Coturnix japonica: one gene and its partners. The protein of the gene in region 3 interacts with the protein of the main gene of each other region in a biochemical or structural test. Links are inferred from orthologs where the notes say so. Each region holds a gene or a part of one and is shown on either strand. Other genes may lie near its edges. The genes, in order: RPS6KA1, sodium channel protein type 5 subunit alpha-like and PTPN3.

The links.
Region 1: the proteins of PTPN3 (region 3) and RPS6KA1 interact in a test that uses a peptide from one of them, tested with the Homo sapiens proteins (2 studies listed by BioGRID and IntAct). The link is inferred for Coturnix japonica from reciprocal best matches to the Homo sapiens genes PTPN3 and RPS6KA1.
Region 2: the proteins of PTPN3 (region 3) and sodium channel protein type 5 subunit alpha-like form a complex in vitro, tested with the Homo sapiens proteins (2 studies listed by IntAct, with this or other methods). The link is inferred for Coturnix japonica from reciprocal best matches to the Homo sapiens genes PTPN3 and SCN5A.

What each region holds. Positions count from the first base shown.
Region 1 is NC_029538.1:170,207-174,328, forward strand, and holds the start of RPS6KA1 (ribosomal protein S6 kinase alpha-1), read right to left. Parts: upstream 2,801-4,122; 5' UTR 2,716-2,800; coding exon 2,653-2,715; intron 1-2,652. UniProt on the Homo sapiens protein: Serine/threonine-protein kinase that acts downstream of ERK (MAPK1/ERK2 and MAPK3/ERK1) signaling and mediates mitogenic and stress-induced activation of the transcription factors CREB1, ETV1/ER81 and NR4A1/NUR77, regulates translation through RPS6 and EIF4B phosphorylation, and mediates cellular proliferation, survival, and differentiation by modulating mTOR signaling and repressing pro-apoptotic function of BAD and DAPK1.
Region 2 is NC_029517.1:4,780,194-4,790,301, forward strand, and holds the start of sodium channel protein type 5 subunit alpha-like, read left to right. Parts: upstream 1-4,225; 5' UTR 4,226-4,434; intron 4,435-6,895; exon of another isoform or gene 6,896-7,044; intron 7,045-10,108. UniProt on the Homo sapiens protein: Pore-forming subunit of Nav1.5, a voltage-gated sodium (Nav) channel that directly mediates the depolarizing phase of action potentials in excitable membranes.
Region 3 is NC_029517.1:46,306,475-46,316,766, reverse strand, and holds the start of PTPN3 (tyrosine-protein phosphatase non-receptor type 3), read right to left. Parts: upstream 5,757-10,292; 5' UTR 5,727-5,756; coding exon 5,600-5,726; intron 1-5,599.

The DNA of each region.
Region 1 (4,122 bases), on a different chromosome or scaffold from region 3:
TTTAAATCCCTTTAATTCCACCTAATCTGAAGCATGTGGAGGAGCAATTTACAGAACAGGGAACCGCTGCTCTGATACGTAAGGAGGACAAATGTCAGGACGGGCAGCACCATGCGGGCTGTGCGCTTCTCTCAGTGCTGCCAACACACATCACCCCATGGCACAGGGGAAAGGACAGAACTCTGCAAAAACAACCATCTCCAGCTCTTCCCTCCAGAGTTCCCCACGCAAGAGGAGACAGTGCTCAAAGTGTATCATGGACAGAAACCTCTCTGCTTCCTCCCCTTTGATCATCACTGTCTTCACTTTTAAGCTGAAATGCACACAGAGAAAGACAGTTACTCCTGAATAGCTTCTGCTCAACAAGGGATGAGCAGATGCACACACACAGGCCAAAATAATTAGCTTGGAGTGGTTGGGTTTGTCGTAATCTCATGTCATCTGTGTTGCTCTGTGTTTGTGTATGACAACAAGAGTTTAAAGGCATGCACAGCCATGATGGCAGCTCCCATCACTATGGCAATGCAGTCATTCAGCTCTGCTCCATCTCTAGTGCTCTGCCCCACACAGGTTTTTCTACCACATAAGCAACATTCCAAATAGGCAGAAAAAAATAGAGCAGGGAATAAAAATAAAAGAACTGGAATAAATGAAATCATAGAATGAAATCATAGAATGGCCTGGGTAGAAAAGGACCACAATGCTCATCCAGCTCCAACCCCCTGCTGTGTGCAGGGTCACCAACCAGCAGCCCAGGCTGCCCAGAGCCACATCCAGCCTGGCCTTGAATGCCTGAAGAGATGGGGCATCCACAGCCTCCTTGGGCAACATGTTCCAGTGTGTCACCACCCTCTTGGGGAAAAACTTCCTCCTAAGATCCAACCTAAATCTCCCGTCTTAGTTTAAAACCATTCCTCCTTGTCCTATCACTGTCCACCCTTGTAAACAGAAGGAAGCATGATGAAGCGAGCTCAGTCCACAGGACAGCTCACCCTCCCACTGCTTCCTCAGCACAGCTCTGAGACAGTGGGTGCTGGCTGTGACCAGCTCAGCAGCTGCTCCTGGGGAGCAGTGGAAAAACCCCCTGACACAATGAGTTGGGTGCCTCCGCAGCACAGTGCCAGCACCTCTGCTCCGTGACTCAGAAAGCAAAGGTTGGAGGAAGCTGGCTTTACACCTCGATGGCAGCGATCCCAGGCGATTTACGTAACGCATTCCAGAAAAGTCTCTTTGGTTTCTCTCTTTGGTGCCACCTTGCCCTACAGAAGGTGAACCTTCCTGCCCCTGGCAAACAGAACCTCACTGCGTGCAAAACTCCACCAAGTCCTTCTCTGCCATTCACAGATTGTCGGCTCCAGGTGCCTGCAGCAGCGCCCAGAGGTGCAGAGTGCCCATGCTACCGAGCACATCGCTCACCTGAAGCCCGAGGGAGCAGAGCTGCTGGTGTCCCACCTGGCACAGTGCTGAGGTGTCAAGTGCCTTCCAGCACCAGCACTCTGCTCCCAGCCCTGCCGCCAACCTCCAGCCCTGCCAAGGAGAGCTGGGAAAGGCAGCCTGCAGCTGCAGTTTACAGAGTACACATCCACAACTAATGCAATGGGGAGAGGAGCCCTCGCTGCTGCCACAATCTTCCTGAGGGACTTTGGCTGATGAATGTGGTGCCCCCGTGGCTGCTTCCAGCCAGGGGAGACGTTTGTGGTGTTGGCACAGCTGCCACCCAGCACCCGAATCCCCAGGATTAAGTGACACACCAATCCTGCCCATGGCATCTATCGCCCCAGGCACCAGCATTAGTTTCCTCCCACTCCAAGTTTGTTTTCCAGACAAATCGCATCCCCCCATCACACCCAGCTTTCCCTGAGCACGTTATGGCCTCAGGACCACGACCCAGTCCCCGAAGGACACAGGCACATCCCCACACCCCAAGCAGAGGTGAGTGCACAGCACGAGGCGCAGCCGCCCACCCCTCACATCTGGCTGTGACAGCTGGGCAACCTGGCCTCCGTTCCCAGCAGAGCTTCCTTAAGAGATAATTTTAAGTAGGAATAAACGAAACTGACCAGTTAACCACTGTGACATCCCTCGGCACGATAGGAGGGGTAAGAGGCAGAAGGTCTAAAACGGGAGAGCGGCAGGGAGCGAGCGAAGCGGGACAAAACCCGCACGAACCCATCCCGAAAGCCGCGAGCTGCAGCCGGGCTGAGGAGCCGTTTGTGCTCACACCTCGGCTGCACCACAGCGAGGAAAAGGTTGCGAGCGGTGCCGACGTGCTGCGGCGGCTGCGGTGCGAAGCGCGGTGCGGGCAGCGCACACCTGGGCTGGGGGGGCTCGTTAAGAGCGAAGCGCACAACATCCAGCGGACAGACGCAGGACGGCGGCTGGGCAGCGCTGAGGCGGGCGGGGGAAGCTCCCAGAGCAGAGCCGTGCTCGCGTTCACAGCTCGTACCGAGGAGCCGAAGGAAAGCAGCGCAGCCGGCAGCTCCCAGCGATCCGCCGCGCTTCCCAACCCCGCGGGGCTCAGTTGGAGCAGCGGGGCAAGAGCGGAGGGAGGGAGGGAAGGAAGGGAGGGAAGGAAGAAAAGGAGCAGGCCGGCCGGGCTCTCCTTTGTTCCGCGAGACCCCTGGGGGTCGCCGCCCGTCTCACCCCGCTCACCTCCGTATCCAGCTGCACCAGCTCCATGTTGGGCCAGGGCTCGGCCAGCTGTGCGAGCGGCATCCTGCCGGCGAGCAGCCCCGCAGGGCGCGGCAACGCTCGGCTCCGTGCCCCGCGCTGGGCACCGGCTGCCCGAGCCGGGCCGGGAGCGGCGGGGCGGGGCGGGGGGCGGCGCGGCTCCTCCCGGCTCCGGGGCGGCTCCGAGCTGGTCTCGGGGAACCGTCGCTCGGCTGCGCTCGCTGCCCTGGGCAGCCCACTGCGGTGCGGAGCCTTTCCTTAAGCCCTTCCTGACCCACCCCCGCCCTGCGCTTTTCCTTCAGGCAGCGACGTGAATGAAGGATCGTGTGTATATCCACGCACACCTTTGGATTCTTCGGTTGGAGATGAGTGGCTGATCGCGGTGCTCTCCTCGAATACGGGTAACGAACCCCTCCCCGCTTTGCCTCGGTGGATGCTCGGAGGAAAGGTACTGTGAGCACAGCTGCTCAGAACACATGCGGCACTGTTTGGGTTTGCCGGGTTTCTCGTGCAGGAGGAGTTGTCTTCTTGCTTTTACTGAAATCCAAAGTACCACGTTTTCAACCTCTTTAAAACGATTTGTTATTAAAAAAACAAAAACAAATAACCACGTCAAAGGGTGCATTGCTAAGGGCTGACTTCATCAAGGTGTGGCTGAAATATCATTTAATGAGCCCAAGGGAAAGCACAGCACACAGCTCTGCTGCTGCACTCTGTCCCGTGAAGCCATCCCTGTGAGGCCCGAATGCCGTGAGCTGATCAGAGGCGGTGAAGGTGAAGAAAGCTGAAGTAGAACAGAGCACAGCAGGCTGAGAAACTCCACTCCATCCTCACAGCTCTCAGAACTGATCTGTGAGCCATTACTAGGCCCATCTTGTTCACACGTGCAGGAATCCGATGTAAGAAATTCCCACGGTGAAAGTATGTGAGCCCAGCACTGCTGTCTGTGCTTGGAGCACCCCTCTGTGCTGCAAGCACTGAGTTGCAGATGAAGGCATTAAATAACACAGATCCACCAGGCTGGTGCTAAATGAGGCCAATTAAACTGATGTCACTTACCGTTGGAGCAAGCTGAAGCAGATCTTGCGGAGAGTTATTCATTCAGCTCCGAAGCTGTCCATAATTTACCCTTATTGTTTGGTACATGGTGTGCCGTTTGCTTGCATCCCTCCTCCAGCTGCTGCAGATTGCAACCTGTTTTAAATGGCATCGATAACACGATGATGTCAGTGCTGGCATCCCGCTTACCTTCTATGTTTGTTTGCAAAATGCAGCTCCTGTTCTGGATTTCCAGCTACTCTGCATGCAAACCAACTGGGAATGCGTAGAGGAGTATGAGGGAGGAGAACAAAATGAGACACCACTCTTGGTGACCTGCTGCACTTTCATGCCAGGTCCCATGAAGGTGACCTTTCTGTGCCACATCCCACTGCACTCCCAGCTCTGCTGCTC
Region 2 (10,108 bases), about 42 Mb from region 3:
TTTAGCCAGGCGTTACAGGATTTCCCCATGGATGCTTGATGAGAGATGCTCCACGAGGATGATAGACTTAATTAAAAGATAGAAGCTGAAGACTGATACAGATGTATCAGCTGACATAGCAGCAAGATTTATATCAGGGTCTCTTAGCTTATCAAAATCAAAGCTGGGGATGAAAAGAAATTCAGATCCTCTAAATCTTGTTCTTGAGCTTTCCATAGCACAGAGAAGGTTTGGGTAAGGATGGAATACAGCCCCATAGGTTTGTTTTGTTTGCTCTCGGTGGGGCTAGGAAGCATCAGGGAAGTATGTTTGTGGGATCTAGGATCTTCCCTGTCTTAGAAGAAGTATGGGTCACAATGGGATAGCCAAGGCCCTTTTACCTAATTAATAAAGCAGTGAGTTGGTGATAGGTCTTTCTGCACCTTCAGTCTTCTGTCATTTTATGTGGGAAAACCCTTGTCCCGGTGTCTCCCTCTGTTTCAAAGGGATTTATAGCAAATAACAATATTATTTTTTGCCCAGTAGAGGGAAGTATTGGCTAAACTGAGCATTGCCTTTGAAAACCCAATAGCACCCAGTGCTCCAGCAGCTTCTTGTACCACTGAATAAGAGGTACGGTAGCAAAAGGCTTCATAGAGAGCCATGGTCTGTGGAAATCAAAAGTGCTCACATAAAAGGGGGAGGGCAGGCCTTTCAAATTTAAAAGAAAATGTGTGTGTATATATAGAGGCAAATTAAGTTTTGCAGGATTCTGAGGAATTGTAATTTTATTTTATTTTTTTTAAATTTATTTTAAGAAAAAGAACAGTATGTTTCGAACCAAATCTCTCCTCCAAACTCTCTCGTTTGCAAGAGCTGCGTGTCTTTCCAATTTCTTTGTTTCCTTAAAACAGGTGGCAACAAATGTGTGGGGATTTAGGATGAAAGGTTCTATAAATACCTTGGAACAATAAATGGCTCTTTGTAAGCAGCACTGCTGTCTGTAATTCCTTTAAGAGAGCAGTGAATGCTTCAGAGGAAAAAGGTGGGTTTTTGGAGGGAAGTGAATAGAAAGATGACATCAACTGATCTCCCACGTAGTATTTACTTTGCTGCTGGTGCTTCCATCTGACATACACGTTTATTGGGTTTCAGCTGACTCATTTGAACTTCTTCACAGACGTTGCGGTAAGTCAACATTACCTGAATGCTTCTTGCAGATTTGGGTGAGGTAACGCATGTTTAATCAATTTCATCTCTTTGATCAGTCTGTCTATAGGGCTGCAGTTAACGTGGTTGCTGTATGATGAGTTTTTCCATTATGAGTTGTCTGTGTCCCAAGGATGCTTTCTCCTTGCTGAGCGAGTTTGTTGCTGCACAGGTCCATATCCCGCCTTGATGTGCTGCCCTTCAGCATAGGGGTGCATTTCCATAAAGCAATGCTTTTGGGGAGGAAATTTATATATAGCAATTGAATAACATGTGTATGCTTGATCTGGAATCCTGGGGGCAAGTTTTTCTGGGCTCTCCCTAGGATGGGATATGGGGGATCCTCTTAGTCCTGGCATAGAATGCATACAACAGATAGCTTTCCCTTCCTGTCATTTTCCCTCTTCTGTCTTTTTCCCTACCTTTCCCTTATTTTCTTTGTTTCTTCTGTAAATAGTACTCTGTGTTTCCTGTAAGCTCTGCTCAGACTGAGCTGATTTCATTACCAGAGGATCAAGGATTTGCTGGTGTTAGGAGTAATTTCTCCATTTCTAAAGGCAGACGAAATGAGGATGGATCTTTCTTGTGCTTCTTCAGGATTTTACAGTGCTTCTTTCATCCATAAGAAAGAGTGGCAGAGTTGAAAACTTAGAACAGTATTGTTCAATACTGGCTGCAAAGGAGAGAACAGCTGGTTGGACCAATGGACGGGAACTTCAATGAAAGCTCAGGGGCTTTCCCTTCTGTTCCTTGGCTGTGACTCTAAACCTGTGGCGCTGAGGTGCTGGATGCTCCCCTGTGCCCTCACACTTAATTTCTGGGACCAGGCCTGGCACAATCACTGGGACTACTAAAGAAGGAATTGGGGAATGAAGCCCCATTTTCAGCCTCATGCATGGCTCTGTGGGAGCAGTCAGCACGGTTCTGAGCTTCCTGCAGGGATGCTGGTCCCACTGCCCCATAGCTGACTTTGTGTACTTTAGAGGATGTCCTTTCCCCTGCACAGCCACCATTCAGCTTCATATGGAGTGATTGATTACAAAGGCCCTTCTCTGAAGATTTGTCTTCCTCTGTCTCCTACCTCCTACAACATCCCGCATTGCTGCAGGCTTTCAGGGGTGGTTTTCCCATCAGGAACCTTCCTTCCTGCTCACATCCACCCTCCTCCATCTTCACCCACTTTCATTTCCCTTTGTGTTCTTCTTTTTCTAGTCCCAACCTTTTCTTCCTTGCTCCTTCTCTCCACCTGCCCTTCCCCACGATAAGCTTATTCATTCTATTTTCCAGTTTGCATCTATGCCAATTCTGATCTCCTTATCTGTTAATTTCTTTGGATATGAGCTTCCTTCTGAATTCAGACCTTCTCATTGCTCACCTTCCTAGTGCCACTGCTGCTTTTTGGGGCATCCTCAGTACTTTGCTGACTGATCTGCTCTTTTCCCAGCACTTGTGTTGTAGAATTGATATCCAGCCTTCAGCTGCTTTCACAGCAGTGTTTCTTACTGCTCCAGGTTCATTGTAGATCAGTTTCATGCACTGCAGAGCCCATCATTGGGCAGGGGAAGCACTGCTCATTTCTCTGTATACACTATTTTACCTTGTTCAGAATTGTGAGCATTTTTTGCAGTTCTTCAGAAGTTTCTTCCAGTTCTGCAATCCTGAATACTTCAGTATTTCTAACAAACTGCTGCTCCTCTCTCCACCTATGAGCTTCCATTTCTGACCATCTCACTTATCACCAGGCAGATTATTTTGTGGCAAAAGTTGCTCTATTTGCTCACTTCCACTTCGTCCTGTAAGCATGACCCAGCCTCAACTCTTCCTTAAGGACTGAAGCACTTGGGGCAGAAGCTTGCAGGAGTGCTTACATTTGGTTGTGTTTGGTTGTCCATGGGAAGAACCAAAGCCAGCTTTGGCACTACTCAGCCTGTCCCCTTCCCCTGGTTGTTGGTGTCCTCCTGTCCTGTGTACCCCCAAGCATCTCTCCTTGCTGTCAGACAAATCCTTCCTTCAAACCCCCTCAATTCCCTGATGGCAACCCACAACATTCATATTCCCTGTTCTTCCCCATTCCACCTTCCTTCCCAGTTTTCTCTATTCCACCTTGCTTCCTAGTCCACTTTCTCCCCATTTCTTTATTCCCAATTCCTCCTTTCCTCTCCTTCCTCCCTTTCCCTCTTCACTTCTTTTCTCCCTCTTCACCCCTCATGCTTGCCTATCTTTTTCCCATCCCTCCTTCTTCCTCACATTTCCCTCATCCAACCCTCTTCTCCATCTCTTCAACCTCTCTCTTCTCTACCCATGTGTACTCACCTTCCTCTCCAAACTTTTTCCCTCTGTGTTCTGTCCCACCTCACCCCTTGTTTCTCATCCTTCTCCAGGCGTGCTCACCCCTTCCTTTCCCCAAATCCCCTTAACTTCCTAGTGACAACCCCAAACTTTCATCACAGTTCCACCCCACCTTCTTCCCCAACCTTCACCAGTCTCCTGTATCTTCAGCTCTTCTTTCCTTCCTATACCTTTTCCTTTTTCAATCTTTAATCCTTTCTTGTTCCTCCCTTCTGTTCTCCATCCACCTCTCCTTCCCTTCTGTGCTTCGCCCAGTCTACCTTCACCTCCATCCTTCCTCCTAATTTTCTCCCCCCAGCCTTCCTTCTGTCCCTCAGTACCTTTTCTTTTTCCTATTTTTTCTTCCCCAGCCTTTCTCACCCTTCCATTTTTCCTGACTTTCCATCTTTTTCCCCACCCCATCCCTCTCTCCTTTGACACACCCCTCTCCATCCCTTCCCACCCTTCCTCTCCACCCTTCCCCTGCCATTCTTTCCCCTCCCTATCCCTCCATCTTTCCTCCCCCTCCCCACCCTTCCCTCCCTTCCCTTCCCCATCCTTCCTCTCCCCCGCTCCCCCTCCCTCCTCCCACCGGCGGCAGAGGGCGCTGCGGACCCGATCCGCCCCAGCCCGGCTCCTCTCTGTAGGGCGGGGAGATGCGGGAGGTGCCTCCCTTCCATCCCTCTGCCCTCCCTCTCCCCTCCCTCCCTCCCCCGCCGCCCGGCCGGGGCTGCGCTCCCCCGGCTGCCGCACACGGCGCGGCGGCTCCGAGCCATGAGCCCTACGCGGCGGCCGGGCAGAACGCCCCGCAGCCGGGCCCTTCCCGTGGGACGGACCGCTCGGGGACTAAAACTCTTATGGATACAATGAAGTGGCTCTGGGACTCTTGGTTTAGCAGGAATATTTAAATAAACCAATGTAAGTTTCTCTTTTTTGTTTGCTTGTTAATAAAAAAAAAGAAAAAAAAAAAAAAAAGAAAAAAAAGAAAGGAAAAAAAAAGCATAAGGAGAAACCCCCCTTCCCCTCCTCTCCCCCCTCTTCCCCTCTTCCCCCCCCTCCCCCGTCCCCCCGAGACGTCCGGTTCAGAGCGAGTCGGAAGAAAGAGGAATTTGTTGCGACGGGATTTCCCCCTTCCCCAAACTTTCCCCTCGAGGTGGGACTGGTGCCGTCCCGTCCAGGCAGGGCGAGGTGAGGCTTCGGGAAGGAGAAGTTGGCTCAGCAGAGCTTGCGCCGGGGTGTGGAAATGGTTTAGATGTGGATGTAGATGTTGTGCTGGTGAAGAGTAACTCTGGTTGGGAATTGGTCTAGATTCTGTCTTGCTTCTGCATCCAGAAGTGCCGGAAAGAGACAACAACACAGAAAATACTCTGCAGATTGTTTGGTGAATGTCATGTGGTGTCGGATGGCTTTGAATGGAATTTTAGTGGCCCGTTTAGAAGGGAAGAAATAAGCTTGAATGGTTATTTCCGCGGTGGCAAGGAAAATTAATCATTCTCATGTATCATGAGAGCGTTACTGATATTACTTGTAAGAACTGCCATAATATATTAAGCATATGTCTTAATAACACCACTCATCTCAAAGCCCTTTGCGAAACACCCGTACTTGAAACGTTTGGAGTTTTTCCAGCACAAATTAAAAACTCTGCTCGGCTTAAGGAAGTAGAGGAAAACAGGGAAAGCTGTGCAGCACACTGACAAGGTGATCATGATTTGATCAAGGCTGCCCCGAGGGGACCGGTGACATACTGGGAGCACCGTAAGAGAGAATGAAGGCTAAATTAAAGCAAAAGTTATGCAACCAAAGTGTGGCTGCATATGGGAACAAACCAGACCTTCTTTTTTATTTAATTTTTAATATATCTTTTTTTTTTCTCCCTGGATATTTGGGTGAGAAAGTGGAGATGAGCTTCTAAAAAGCAGAGAGATGCGTGAGCTGTGCTCACCTACGGCAACAGGTCTTGCTTTGCCTGGAAAGGATGAGCTGAGCTTTGAGAGTGCTTGAGCTGAGCCTTTCCAGCTGAGGCTGGGGCAGCTGCTGATCCTGCAGACGGGTGTCATATCCACAGCTTGTGGCCCCGATTTTATTTTTTCTTTTCACCAGGGTGACGAGCTGCTATTCCCAAAATACAGGGCGTATGGTGGAATAAAGGCGGCGATTCAAAGAGGATTTGTCAATACTAAAAATAAACAGGCCCGCAGATGTGTCCTAGGGGGTCACGTCCAGTCATAGCGTTTTCAGGGCCGATGTGCCTATTTAGTGATTTTGCGTGAGCGTGTCCTGTCCAAGGTGCTGAAGTTGATTTTGCTGATATTTCTCGGGATTTGAGGGCTTTGCACGAGTTGGTTTTGGGAAGCTTCCGCTTGTCTTGAGGCGGTACGGTTTGATTTGGAGGGTCCCTCCTGGGTGGCACAAAGAGGAAGCAGGGATGTGTTTTCAGACACGTATATTTGATCCGTCCTTTTGGCGTGGGAAAGCAGGCCAGGTGGAGCTGCAGATGGATCCAGCAGATCCTATAAGCTTTTGGTGGCAGAGAACTGGAAAGGTCAGAGCTTTAAGGCAGCGAGGAGTGAAATTCCCTCATTCTAGTGGACCAAGAAAGTGGTGGTTTTGAGTGTCTCTGCTGTTGTTTTGGGTTCCTTGCCTCTGATGAGATGCCTTATTCCAAAAAAGTTGAGGGGGAGCCTCAACTGGGTTGAGGGTAGAAATGATGCAAATGGGACTGGAATGATACCCGATGATTTTGATAGTATTTTTATTCTTCTTGTGTAGCATCTAAAAACAGCAAATGTGGTTGTCAGAGACCTTCAGAAATAGTCAGTCCTTAAGGGAAAAAGTGTGTCTTTTGGGGAAAGTGTCTCAAAAATTAAGCAATGGAGTCCTGCACTGCAAATTGTTGTATTTTTAGATTAATGTGCCAAAAGCTCTCAGACTTAAGTAGTTTAGTTTATGTAATCTTTGGTATGAGACAGACCACAGTATTGCCAGAAATGAGTATAGTGGAAAATATTATTTGTCTTTGCTTGGTGTTTGATGTTGTGATGTGCTTCTCATCAGTTCTTGAAACTAATTTTGAGTCCGTTCATAATGTAGATTGGTACTTTTTAAGACTCTCAAAGTGTTTTACAAACACAGATGATCAGACTTTGATACCTGAGTTTTTTGTGGATAAATAGTTCATGCTGCGAGGAGTCCTGTAGGTTTAAAGCACACAAAAAGTCTGTACAGTATGGTAGAGTAACTGATGTTGTTTCATATCCTCAGTCACTCGTCAGAGATCACAGAGGAACTCAGTTGCATCATTGTCTGTGTACCCTAAATACCTTGACCATGAAGGGTGTATGTGGATCATGAGGCTTCCTGACTCTGTGTGACAGCTTATGAGGATAGAGTCTAAAAAGTGCAACACAGTGGAGAGCATTATATTCCTGGTCTGAACCAGAAACTAGTCTCCGTTCTTGCTATGATGGACTAACTCCTGTGGGACTAGCACACAACTCATGAGACTTACACAGGCTACAGAGAACAGTTGAGTAGTAACTGCATTCTTGATTTAAATGCATAATCAAAATTATGTTTAAAATTGTACTGACAGGAAATGACATTCTCAGAGGTGCAGGAGATTTATGAAATAGAACTAGTTTAATTTTATGTTAAAAATCTTGTGGTTTCTTTTTTTATTATTATTTTTTTCTGTATTGGACAGGGATTTATCTCTTCTTGACTGTTTTCTTTACCATTTTCAATTGTGTATCTTGAAGGAATGCTCTGTCCATGTATGTGAGGAAAGAACTTTTAGGCTTGCGTGCTAAAGAATGTTGAGTGGCTGTTCTGAAATCGTGGTCATGTTTTTTGAAAGAAACAGATCAATATCTGTTGCTACCTTGGTTTACTTTTGGAAGCTCAATATGACAAATAGAAAGAGACCTTTTGTTTTCAGAGGGCGGATGCTCAGTTTTTCCCAAAAATTACTACCTTGTAAGTTGTCTCCAATCATCCGCAAGAATTACTCTGAGAAATTATAGGTCTGATAGTTAAAAAGTGGCAACAAGTAATTTCTCAGTTCAGTTAAATGAAGCTCCTATTTCACAAAGGCGGTATATCTCTGAATTATATGCTTAACTTCTGCTTCTGTTTACATGCTGTCTTGTGGTAGAGCCATAATCAATGTGTGAAGCAATTTATATTTTGAATTCTATAATTGCTTCTCACTTTTACTGTCTATTTTTTGTGCTTATCCCATTGCTTAAGATACTCAAGACCAGGTTGGATGGGGCTTAGGGAAATTTGATCTAGCAGGAGGTGTCCCTGCCTGTGGCAATGGGGTTGGTACTAGGTCATTTTTAAAGTCCCTTCCAACCTGAACCATTCTGTGATCTGAACCTGGAGGAAAACTACATGAAATCAGTCAGGTATATTCCTTTTAGCTTAGGGTGACTGTCTTGTCTGTACTGTCACACTGTTCAGATAAACGTGATAAATATTTGTTTATCTTTAAACTAACCATTGTCTTTATGACTGAACTAAACTCCTGATTTGTTTTCTACTGATCTTTTATTATTTATTTTGTGAACCAACCGTTGGGCCCACTTTCACCTGGCTCTGTCTCTTTGTCTCTTTGGGTTTCTCTTGCGAAGTGACAGTTTCTAAATCAGGAAGGAAATCAGGTCACATTTCTGGCTCTGCAGGACTTATCTCACTGCTCTTCTTTCAAAGTAATTAGAGTTACTAATAATGAGAAAAAGAAAACTTTTTTTTTTTTTTTCTTCAGAACTGGTATGTTCCTAACCCCTCTCTCCTGGCTGTTTTTTGTGTCACAGAAGAGATAAGAGTTTATTGAGGAGGCTCCTTTTCTCCATCAGACTGTGACTTCCTTTAAGTTGAGCTGCAGGTGATATGGTCACCCTTACAAAGATACCCCATGTTCCTTAGATTAGCTGAGTTTATTTATTCCCCACTCATTCTGTTATGGGCTGCCCTGTGGCACTGGGTAAGAACCCACGATGGAGCTGGTTAGATCTCAGCCTGGGAGAAGAACAACGTACTGACCAAAGCTGACTGTATCCCAATCCCTGAGCAGGCTGGGGAAATCTTGGTGGGACAGTATAAGCAGAATAGAAAGCATAATGGTTTTATTAAACACACGTAGTGCCAGCAATGACAACCATAGTTTGTACCCTTCCTATTCAGGCCTCTTATCAGTTACAATTTGCTGGGGTATACTCTCAGGAAAAATGGCAAGTGAAGCTCAAAAATTCACTCTTCCTTAATACATCCACCTTTGAGGAGATGTGACTCAGGAGGCTTCCTCTTCTTCACGCAAAATTTTCATTGATGTCAAAAGATCTCTTATTTTCCATAGCAAAAACGTGCTTCCCTGCTCTCTGTAATCAATGAAACTGTTTTTGTCTCAATTCTGCATGACAAAAATGGCTTGGTTTTCATTATTATTATTATTATTTTGTAGTTTTATAATATTGCAGTGGCTTTTTGAGTAGAAAAGCATCACACATCAAATAATGAAGTTCTAGTTTTGCAGCATGTTTTGTTACAAGTGCTGCTAAGCACCGAGTTTTCCTTTTTTTTTTTCTTTTTTTTTCTTACTGTACTTAATTAATTTGAAAGTGGAACAATTTGTGCTCTATCCTGGAAAAAAAAATAACTCTGTGCTTTACCAGGTTGTGTATTTCAACTTTCAGCTTGATTTGAACTTTCTTGATTTGCACAGCTTCTGCCAAAGAGGCTTTTTTATGGCAAAGCCCTACTAACCGGTTAGAGGTCCTTTATAAAGCTAGCTGGGTTCCTAAGGTTCTAAAACTGCTCTTTATCCAACATATGACTTGCAGATATCTTTCAAATGATGCCTTGCTAGTTTTATTCTAGCGCCAGTATAAGTACAGAGTGTTTATGAAGTTATATGGGTAGTTAATATCGGAGTGCATAACACTGGAGGCAGACTGGGGCATGGGTAATTTGTCTGTGCCAGAAGCCTGAAGTAGTCGTGGAGTTTGTAGGCTGATTTTGCTCATTAAGCTGTGGTTTGGGGCTTTAGAGAAGTCTGTTTTTCTTTTTGCTGTTTCTAAATGCTTTATATAACACTGAAACATCTGTGCAATAGGAAGGTATGGAAGAACTCGCCCATGGACAAATTCTTTCAAGACCCATTAATTGGAGATGGATTAGATAGTCCATTCACAAGGATTATATTGTTTATAATGATTTTTCAGAGATTCTTTTTCTTATTGTAATGAAATGGTCACTCTTCCCAAACAAATGTGCAGTTGTTTGTGTCTCAGTATCTGAATATGTCACCGTTCCTCCAGGCTGGCTTACAGCATGCCTACATGAGGTCTAGAAGTCGCAGGAACCAGGTGCCCACTTGACCCTGGGTAATCAGAACAGAACAGCTCATGGGGATCATTTCTGCTGATTCCAAGTAAGCAAAGTTCACCCCTGTTGGAGTTTGCTCAGGTTTTGTGCCCTACTGCCAGGCTACTTCAGTCCTCCAAAAAGCATTTTTACTGCTGGGCTGTACATTTATAACATCACATAATGGCTTGGGTTAGAGGAGGCCTTAAAGAGCATCCAATTC
Region 3 (10,292 bases):
CAGGTATACTTCATTTGGTGATACAGACAAATTAAGGCCTGAGTTGCTCACTCAGCTGCACCTGAGGCTGGGACAACTCAGGACATGCAGACAAATGCAGCTAGAGACTCCCAGTAAACTAAAGAGACAAATAAGTCCTTGAACTTAATCTCCACCAGCTTTGTTGGGATTTCAGTCTTAAACATCAGGTCAAATGCCCAGTTCAAAAATCTGTAATGGATTTTACACCTAGATCTTTCTTTCATGAGAGGAGAGGGATAGACACCCCCCCCCCCCCCCCCCCCGAAGGCTGTCCTAAGCTAGACCAACTCTCTGGAAGAAAACTCCATGCAAAGCTTTGCTCTCAGTACTCTGTGACAACTTTGCCATCATGGTATTGAAATCAACAGCATAATTGTGCCTAAAATACAGTAGCAAAAGTAAAGGTTTTTTTTGTTTGTGTGCTTGTTTGTTTTTTTCTTGAGGAAAGGATGTGCTTTGTTGAGGAAAAATGCAGATAAGCAAACCCTGCTGCTATCAACAGCCTCATGGAGCCACTACAACAGAGCTTGTGTCCCTCAGAAATCTCCAGTGCAGCAGAAACCTCACATATGCAATGAGGAGAAATACTGCAAAGATCCAGAAAGCCTTCCAAGAGCCAGGATCTCAGCAGGACATAGATGTGTGTGCCTTTGAGACACCAAGTGTGCACTGAGCAGAATGGCAAACATATTCCAGGCCCATTTTCAACTTCTTTCTGCTGTTTTCTTCCTCAAATTTTCCCTTTCTTGCAAAGCTTTCCCTCCGAGCCTGTCCTGCATGAGCTGCTGAATGCATCCAGCTGCTGGTAGCCTTCCCTGCTTGCATTCCCACCCACGTTACCACAGCAGCAGGAACAGCAAAACACTAAACATGAGGTCTCTGCGTGGGCAGAGTCCCTGCGTCCTCTGGACTCTGGAGCATCCTTGATGCAGCTGCCAGGCCCTCAGAGGATTTTCACATCTTAAGTGTTTGCTCTGAATCCTTTTCCAGCTGAACCTGGCACATTTCTGGGACAGCTAACATCGCCTGTGTGCAGAACGTGTAGCCAGTACTGGTTATACCCGTTTTATGTGTTTTTCAGAGAAGTTTTTAGCAGCTGGACTACGTAGGGTGAATATAAACAGTTGTCCCAAGTACACTTCTCAATCACTTCTGAGCAGCTCAATCTTGCTTACATTTCTACCTGAACTCCACCCATGCCTTACATAAGCCTTTCTTCCAGAGATAAGTCAACAGAGAGGAATTCACATGGAAATAGCTTTCCACGTGGCTTTCAGATGAGGAGCATATGAAGAGCACGTGTATTAATTAAGCCTTGTTTTCACTTTACTTTTTATTCCTTTGGACATACTTGGATTTCAAAAAAGTAAGGAATTAAATCAACTTTGTTTCTTATTATCTGACTATTGCTATAGATCAGGTTGAAGAACACCGATGTATTAATTTGTTATCAAAAGTTATCAAAACTGAGAGCCAAAATACCTGACAGTCAGGTACCACAGTTCCCTGGAAAACAGCTCTATTTAAATAAGTTTTTTGTTTTGACGATATGACGGGTCTTGTCAAGAACAGTAATCATGTTGGGGCAGTATATTTTGATTTCTCCAAGACAGCTGATTTAACACTGCAGGGAATTTTGATATAAAATGGGCATGTACAAGGAGCCTACAGAGTGCATATTATATGGCCAAACATTGATTCAGCAGTAGAACTTTAAGAGGTCCACGAGACAAAAAGTGGTGCTTTTTCTCATGTAGTCCACCCAGTATCAGTTCTCTACACTGAAATATGACTTCATATTTCAGTGCACACTCCAAACAAAATAAAAAAAGTCTTTACCAGCAAATTTGTTAAGTGATCAAAAAAACAGTTGCGTAGTTAACAGAGAATTACTCCTGCCCAGAGAGTGATCTCGTTTAAGTGGTCAAAGTAGATACAGATACAGTCAAACAAGAGATTTTAGATTTGAAAATAATGAATAGTTGAAAGGTAGTTGAAAATGATTTTCCCTAAAACTTAGAATTTAACAGTTTTCTTTGGGCGGGAGAGAGAGGGAGAAAGGAAAAAAAAAAAAAAAAAAAAGGAAGAATTTGACAGGCTGTCATTGATCTAGGTGTCAGTGAGGGAAGGCATGGGCTGCATGGGATCACAGTTTATGTTGGAAAGGGATTTTATTTTTTGCCTCCTCAAGACGCACAGAGAACTTCCCACGTCCTCCCATGACTGCATGCATAACTCTGCAATGATGCTCTTACGAGTAAGAATGAAATCTATTAATTTTAGATTACTTTTTCATACCTGAAATCTAGGCAAACCATCCTGAAAATGTACATTTGACACTTTATGACAGATAAAACAATCAGTACCAAACCAGCCTCAAATGCAAATGCCTTCTCACTGAAATTACAGTGCAATTTCATGTTTATTTTCAAATTAAGAGAATATTTATTATTATTATTATTATTATTATTATTATTATTATTATTATTATTATTATTATTATTATTATTATTATTATTTTGGAATCACTGAAATAAAAAACAAAAACCAACCCTTTGGTGGTTTTTAATTCTGTTACAGATAATTAAAGTACAACACAAAAGTGCTTTTTATTTGTAAAGTGTCTTCAGGTTAATTTTGTTCCGGGTGAAGTTACTTTTTTTCCTCTCCTCTTTAAAAGGCTGAGACCAGAATCCTTTTCTCACATGCCTTCCTACTGTTATGAAAAAAATAGATATTTGGGCTCTGGCAATATAAGAATATTACCAAAAAGAGCAGACAAACAAAGGATTTCAAGATAGAGAAGAGCTGTGAAGCCACTCGAGAAGTTTATCACAACTCCAAAAGAAACCACATTTATTACATACATTTTTTGTTCTAACTGGTATAATAGCCATTTCAATGACTAATTTATGGTATATTCCTCAGAATCCATCTCTGCCAAAAGGGGTGAGAATAATGGTTTTGAAAAGGATGGATGGTGGTGCTGAGCCTAGCGAGGCAGCTGTGCCTACCCAAGGTACATGCGCCTCACACAACACTGTTTTGACAATTCATAATTTCTGATACAGGAGAGAAAAAAAAGAAACAACAGTAGCAAGAGCTGGTAAGATTTTAACATGTCCTGAAACAACAGGGCACAGGCTACCTTCCTGGTCTTGTCATATCTGTCTTGAGATGGTCCTACTGGATGAGATGCCTGACAAAGTAATCAGTTAAAAAAAAACAGAACAACACAAGGAAAATGTAGTGTCCACCTGTGGAGTGAATACCTTAGCAGTGAAGCACTGAACCTATGCAGACCTATAGAAAATATATGACTAACAATGGTCTAATCTTCAGTGTTGTAAGCATCACAGCATGTTTTGGAAGACAAAAAAAGCTCACCATAAAACGTCTTATTTTTCCCCTGAAAATCATTTATAGAGATAAATGACAATAAACAGGACACACATATGGAAATACGTTGTCATGGACAGCTAGGCACTTCAGGTATGAAGTTTCGAGTGTCTTGTTAAATTCACATAGCAACAGATACATAGCCAATGACTCACAAAGACATCCCTTGCCCATTTTGATACAGCAGGAAGGATTTCTTAAAAGGCTTGGTTTTGTCTTTAAGCTAAGATCTGCAATGGTTCAACTTTTCAGACCAGTTCACAAAAGCACAGAGTTTTGAGCTCAAATGCATCGCCTACTGGGGTAGATTGACCCTTCATGACCAGAACTGAGATATTCAGTGCTCAGTGGTGTTTGGTTAATGTGTCAGGAAGATGTACTACCTGTTCCTGGCAAGTGCTTAATGCTCTAAATGCCAAGGCTGATTCTTTACGTGGCCCTTTCTTCAGCCCATGGAGCAACTCCAGTGGCTTCAGGGGGCGACCAGTCCTGACTCATGCCACCAGAAGATGTAATTAGAGAGCCCAGCTTGTGCATCCTGCGGTATCACCTGGCTTCCTTCCTCTTATGGATTTACTTTCTTTGTGTTTCTTATGATTTTTCTGTGCATATTTTTCAGACTCTACAGTGCTGCATGCGTTGCAGCTGACACATTTCTGCATTACTGGGAGCCAAGCTTGACTGGGAAATCCTTCTCTCTTACACATGCAAAAACAATGACACGCAGTGTGAAGTTGTATATAATATACAAAACTGTGCAATTTGAACTCCATTCACCCTCTGTCTTTCATAGATGGCAACTGGATGATTTTAACCCAGAATGGCTCATCTGCTTTTTAAAAAGGAAAAGAAAGGAGAAAAAAGAAAGGAAGTGAAAAGCATTCACTCAGGTTGTTTATGTTACAGCAAAGCTAAAAATAAATTACTGATAGCCTGCATATGTAAAGGTTTATGAAAACCTCTAATAGCAACTAGTCAGCAGCAAAGGAAGCACTTGGTTTTCCATAGCAAAGCAACCACAACTCTGGTTCCCCTTAAGGCTGGCTGGCTACAAGCGGGCTGGCTCCTAACTCAGATCAGCAGGAAGAATTTAATTCTCTGTCGTCTTCTGCATTTGGGGCTTTGTGAGAGAAGTCATCTCTCCACAGGTAAACTGCATCTTTGCTGGCATCCCAGCCCTCCCTGCTCTTAGCCAGCACCAAGCTCTGCACAGAGGCACACATCCAGAACAAAGCCAATCCTTCCATGTGGAGTAAGCTTTAAATAACATCCTCTTCGTGTTGCCAAAACAAGCCAACCCATTCAAAAAGTGAAGTATCTGGAGTTCAAAGAGAGAAGGTTTTCTTAGCGCTGAACTTTGCTCAGGCGGCACACTGGAGTGGCTTCGGGACATACCAGTTCCGTTCTTGCCTCTGCTGAGCGTTTTGTTCAGACAAGTCCAGGCCAGGCGCAGTGCCTTGCTCCTGCAGCCAGCTGCCTCCCTCCCTGCCTGACACGCTCTTCTTGGGCACCTTGGGAGCTGAACTCCGAGTTTTTCAGAATACTTTTTAGATACTCCAAATCTTGTTATAACCAAACACGTGCAAAGATTTTTGTTATTCTTTCCAGACTGTAATATGGTCTCTAGTAAGATAAATAATATTTATGTTAAACCTTCCTTTGGGGAGAGAGGGATTGATTTGGGAATCTTTGAACTGTGCTGTAAATCTCAGCTGACATTTGCATAAAGTTCTGGACAGTTTGTACAGTCAAACAACAACCACCTCCATTTTTGTCTTTCACCATACTATAACTTCCCAGAAAAAGATTTTGCAGTCCCCCAAGCTGCCGTCTGAGTTACTCAGAGCACACTGTTCACATTCTCCACCACACCTGCAGTGCCACATCGTAGTACCTCACAAATACAAGCACAAAGCCAAACATTAAAGCAAGTTTCCTCAAGACGCTTTTATATCAAAGTTCTTCATACAAGCATCCTTTCTTTTGCTTGTAAAGGCACTAATCATATTTCAATTGCATCCCTACAATATAAATTTAATAGCTTCCTTATTTCCTCACTTTAGCATTTCCCCTGTACTCCCTCTGCCTTTTCAATTATAATAGCTAGATCGTTTCTTTCATTTCCTTTCTCCTGTGTCCTGCTTTCATTTCTCATACAAAATCACATTTGGTCACTTACACTTTTCTTGAGGATAAGCACACGACAGCAGGATCTCTTGCTCCACCATGGTGCCGCCTGCCAGAGAGTTCAGGGGTCTTCTGAATAGCGTTTCAAGAAAATATTTTGGAAAGCTCAGCTCGCTCATGCGAGCTTCTGATCTTCTCCAGCCCTCTTGGCTTCTGTGTGCTGTCACATGTTATCCTTCCTCCTGACAAACCTGTGCAGCAGGTCTGGCAACACGCATCTTGTGTGTCAGAAGAGCTTTAATTGATTCACTGCAACAGGTACCCACCTTCATTAAAAGAACTTTTTTTGAAAGGAGTAGTCTCTTAGCGCCTCATTTGAAATTACAGAACCTGCAAAATGTCACAGCTGCTGCACTTTAAAGGGAAGCTGCTTGAGAACGTGCAGGAAGTAATTTAGAATCAGTCTTACATGCCAAATAAACCACAGCTAGCGGTATAAGTTGGGTGCTTCTGCACCGTGGGAGAGCAGCAAGCCTTTTGCTATGCACACAGGTGGCATGGTCTGCTTCTGCATCTCACAGGGCATAGATTCTTGTGGGATAAAACAACCCCATATCTCTGCCATAGAGACCTCTGCCCCCATGAATAATAGCGCTGATTGCTACTGATGCAAACCATGTGGCCGTGATTTCTTAGATACACAGACTGGAGAATGCAAGGTTACTGGTGCTGCCTGCAGAGAAGCTAAGTCCATGTAGCAACCACAAAAATCTCTGCCTTAGCACAACCCCTATATAGGTCTCAGCAAAGAGCCCCCAGCATGGCCCTGAAAGCTCCATGCAGTTTAATTACCAGTTCTCTGCTGACCTCATGCCAAGAGTGGCCCCTCATTATGACTTGCACCAGTTCCACATTAGGGCACATCAAAAAGTATCCCCATAGCCATTTCCTACTGCAGTTGCACCCCCAAGCATTGTTGAGTGCAAGTGAGGCTGTGGCTAGGAAAGAGCCAAAAAGCAGTAGACGTGGGATTTACACCTGACTCTGCCTCTAATTTGCCCTGTCACATTGGGCAAATTGCTTTAGCTCTCTGTTGTTTCCCCATCTCTACCACAGATAATTACAGCTCCCTTTCTTTAGAAAGTGCTTTGAAATCTATGCACAAAACACACATGAAAGAGGAAGTTATCATTATTGCACACTTGTAAAATATTGGGATGAGGCAGACAATGAGCAGTGAGCATTTCAGATTGCATGCATGCCAAGTGTCGTGTTATACAAGGAGTGTGACCTTATTGTCATAACCTGATTATTTATGCTGTAAAAAAATAAATAAATAAAATAATTCTATAAAATTCAGTACAAGTCCAGTTTCTGTTTTGCTGAGAGAAAAAATCTAAACCAATTCTCACTTATAAGAACTTTACATCCTCCCGGAAATGGCAGGTCCACAAGAGGTTCCTTAGTGGAGAATGATGTAGTATGGCAGTTTCCTGCTTCTCTCTCACCTGGGTAAATAACATTTCTCATTTTGCAGCCAGTGAGTGTTTACATTAGACTCAGAAGATCTGAATACTCACCCCCCTTCTCTTTTTAAAAAAATAAAAGTCAACAAAGATTGCAAAGAGCTGGTTTTGTTGTCGTTGTTGTTTGGTGGGTTTTTTTTTTTGTTTGTTTGGTTGGTTGGTTTTAGTTTTTTGGTTTTTTTTTCATGTGCAAATAGACTCAAACAGACTGATGAAAAGCTGTGTTTTTCAGTGGCTGAATTCATTCAAATAGGAGTCTTGTATTTGCTTCAGTACTTTAACAAACAACATGAGAGAGCTGCTTCTGTTCACCTTACTTCCGCAGTGTAGCTCATTGAGGGGCCTCTCTTTAGTGGGGAGGTTTGTAAAGGAAATGACAGTGAATTAATTTTCCCTGGAATTTAGAGCAAATAATCGTTGGTCACTTGAGGAAACAGTGGTTGCCAGGGCAGTGCATGATGGAGATGCTGTCGCCTTCTTGCCTCCACATGTGCTACGACTGCCCATGTACTCTCACTCACAGACTAAAGACCTCTCAAATGATGGCAGCACTCCTAAGATGATGGATTGAAGACCTCATAGGGTTGAAAATTAAGACAGACTTGCAAAACCTTTAACAGTATATTTAATGAAGAGGCCAAGTAATTGCATTTTTCCTTCTGCATCCTTTTCCTGTAAGAATATTCCCAATAAAAATGTGCTTATCCACTCCCCTACTTGACCTAAAATCCCAGATAATGCTTAGCATGAGAGATAGCTCAGAGATAAAGCTGGGCAATGCTGAACTGAATGAAGATGAATGACTATGGGGAAATAGCTTTTTGTGAAATGCCCCTTGCTTGCAAGATGATACTGTCAGACTCTGAAAACTTACCTGAGTCTCAAAACATCATTCTCTGCATGACTTAATGTGGCCAGCCAGGTTTATTACAGACCAGGAGGTTGGTAAATGTATAACCTACTTACTTACTCCATCATCCATTACAGAGCCATGTTCTAAGATGTCCTAAGGTTACTGCACTGGTAGTTTATAGTAGGAACTCAGTCACTTAGTGACTTAGTTCACAAGCTCAGAAGCATTTGGAACTACATTTGCAGAAGAATATATATGCATTTGCTTTGTCTGATTACATGCAGTTGCAGTAGGTGACTTGCCAATAACAAAAGTTTTATGACATTTGCAAACTCCTACCCAGAATCATATTATCACAGAATCACAGAATCACAGAACTACCCGGGTTGGAAGGGACCTCAAGGATCATGTAGTTCCAACCCCCCTGCCTAGCAGGGCCACCAAACATACACCTTTACTAGATCATTGTTGGCCCAGGGCCCCGTCCAACCTGGTCTTGCAACACCTCAAGGACGGGGCAATCCACAACCTCACTGGGCAGCCTGTTCCAGGACCTAACCACCCTTCTCAGTAAAGAACTTCCCTAACATCCAACCTAATCATCTTCCCTCCTTCAAACTTAAAACCATTTCCCCTAGTCCTGCTATTATCAGCCCTTTCGACAGAAAGTTTACTCCCCTCCTGGGAGTAAGTGTCCCTTCAGGTATTGACAAGGCTTGCAATGAGGTCACCTCGCAAACCTTTCTCTCTAACCAGGCTGAACAAACCCACTCCCTCAGCCTCGTCCTCATAGGGGAGGTGCTCCCAGCCCCTTGATCTCTTTGTCGGCCCTCCTCTGTACCCTTTTCCAAGATCTCCATACTCTTTTTGTACTGAGCTCCACACCTGGACATAGTATCCAGATGGGGCCTCACAAGACGCAGAGTTAGAGGCAGGGACGATCACCTCCCTATCCCTGCCTGACCACCCCTCTCCTTGATGGAGCCCAGGATCCCATTTGCTTTCCGGGCTGCCAGAGCGCACTGCTGGCTCGTGTTAAGTTTCTCATCTATCAGGACCCCTAGGTCTTTTTCAGCCGAGCTGCTCTCAAGAACAACTCCTCCCAGCCTGTACAGGTGCCTGGGGTTCTTCCGGCCCAAGTGCAAAACCTTGCACTTTGCCGTGTTGAACCTCATTAGGTTCACCCAAGCCCAGCTTTCCAGCCTGTCAAGGACCCTCCCATATTAGCATGTTCTGATTTAAATTTCAGTGGAAAGGACTGTTAGGGAAAAAAAAAAAAAAAAAAGAAAAAAGTGTACTTGCAAAAAGGTAATATAAGAATGACAGAGAAAATTCTTTTAAAATTATATATATATTTCCCTTTCTCTTTTTAGCTGTCATCTGCACATGGATGAAGATGGTCAGGAATTAAAGTTGCTAACCCGCCTCTGGAAATAGAAGACACAGTGAGAGTTGATTCCAATCTTTTCAGCAAAGAGAAAAACAGCATGTAAGAATAGGTGCCTGAGAATTTTGGGATGAATGAAAGCATTTAAACACCACATCCTAAAAATCTGAAAGCCATCTAATGAGCTATGTGAACTGGTACTGTCAATAGCAGCAAAAACTCTAGAAAGAGTCAAGTTTACATACAGGAGTATTTTGCTGTAATGAAATTAAAATATGAAGCGATACAGCCATCTTTGGATGGGCTCCAATCATTCAAATCGATGCGTACATTCATGTGTGAGTTATTTGTGAAGAGCACTCAAATGACAAACATCCCGTAATTGTGGTGCTTGATCCTCCAAGAAGCTCATCTCTGTAATTATAATCATTGTCTGAAAAAACAATACAGTAACTGTGCAATTGATGCTCGTCTCCACTTCTGTCACTGAAGTGACAAAATATCCAAGCCATGTTCACATCTGCTTCCTTATAATGCTCCATTTGTCCTCACCCCAGTATCTAGCCATAACCTACAATTATGCGTCATTAGATTTCTGTGGAACTGATTAAAGGCTGTCCTATTCAAAGCTGATTTGGGAATATTCCAAAAGCCTGAGGGCGGGCCCTAACTGGCATAAAAGAAGCAGATTTAAGCAGCTGATTCCTTAAACATCATGGGTTTCCCACTTTGGGTAATAACTGCTACCCAGTGCAACGTGAAGAAGATGAAGTCCTGAATATACCGCATGTGATGGTGTCATCCTTACCATGTGGGCAGTCATTGCTTTTCCTTTCTCATTCAAGAGAAAATGCTTAAATCAGCAGAATAGTAAGTGCTGGTTTGTTTTAAAATGGCTTTGTGGCGTTACTGCAGAACTGCTGCTTGCATAGCAGGCACAGGATGAGTGAGGGAAAGAGAGGGAAGGTTCCCAGTGCTC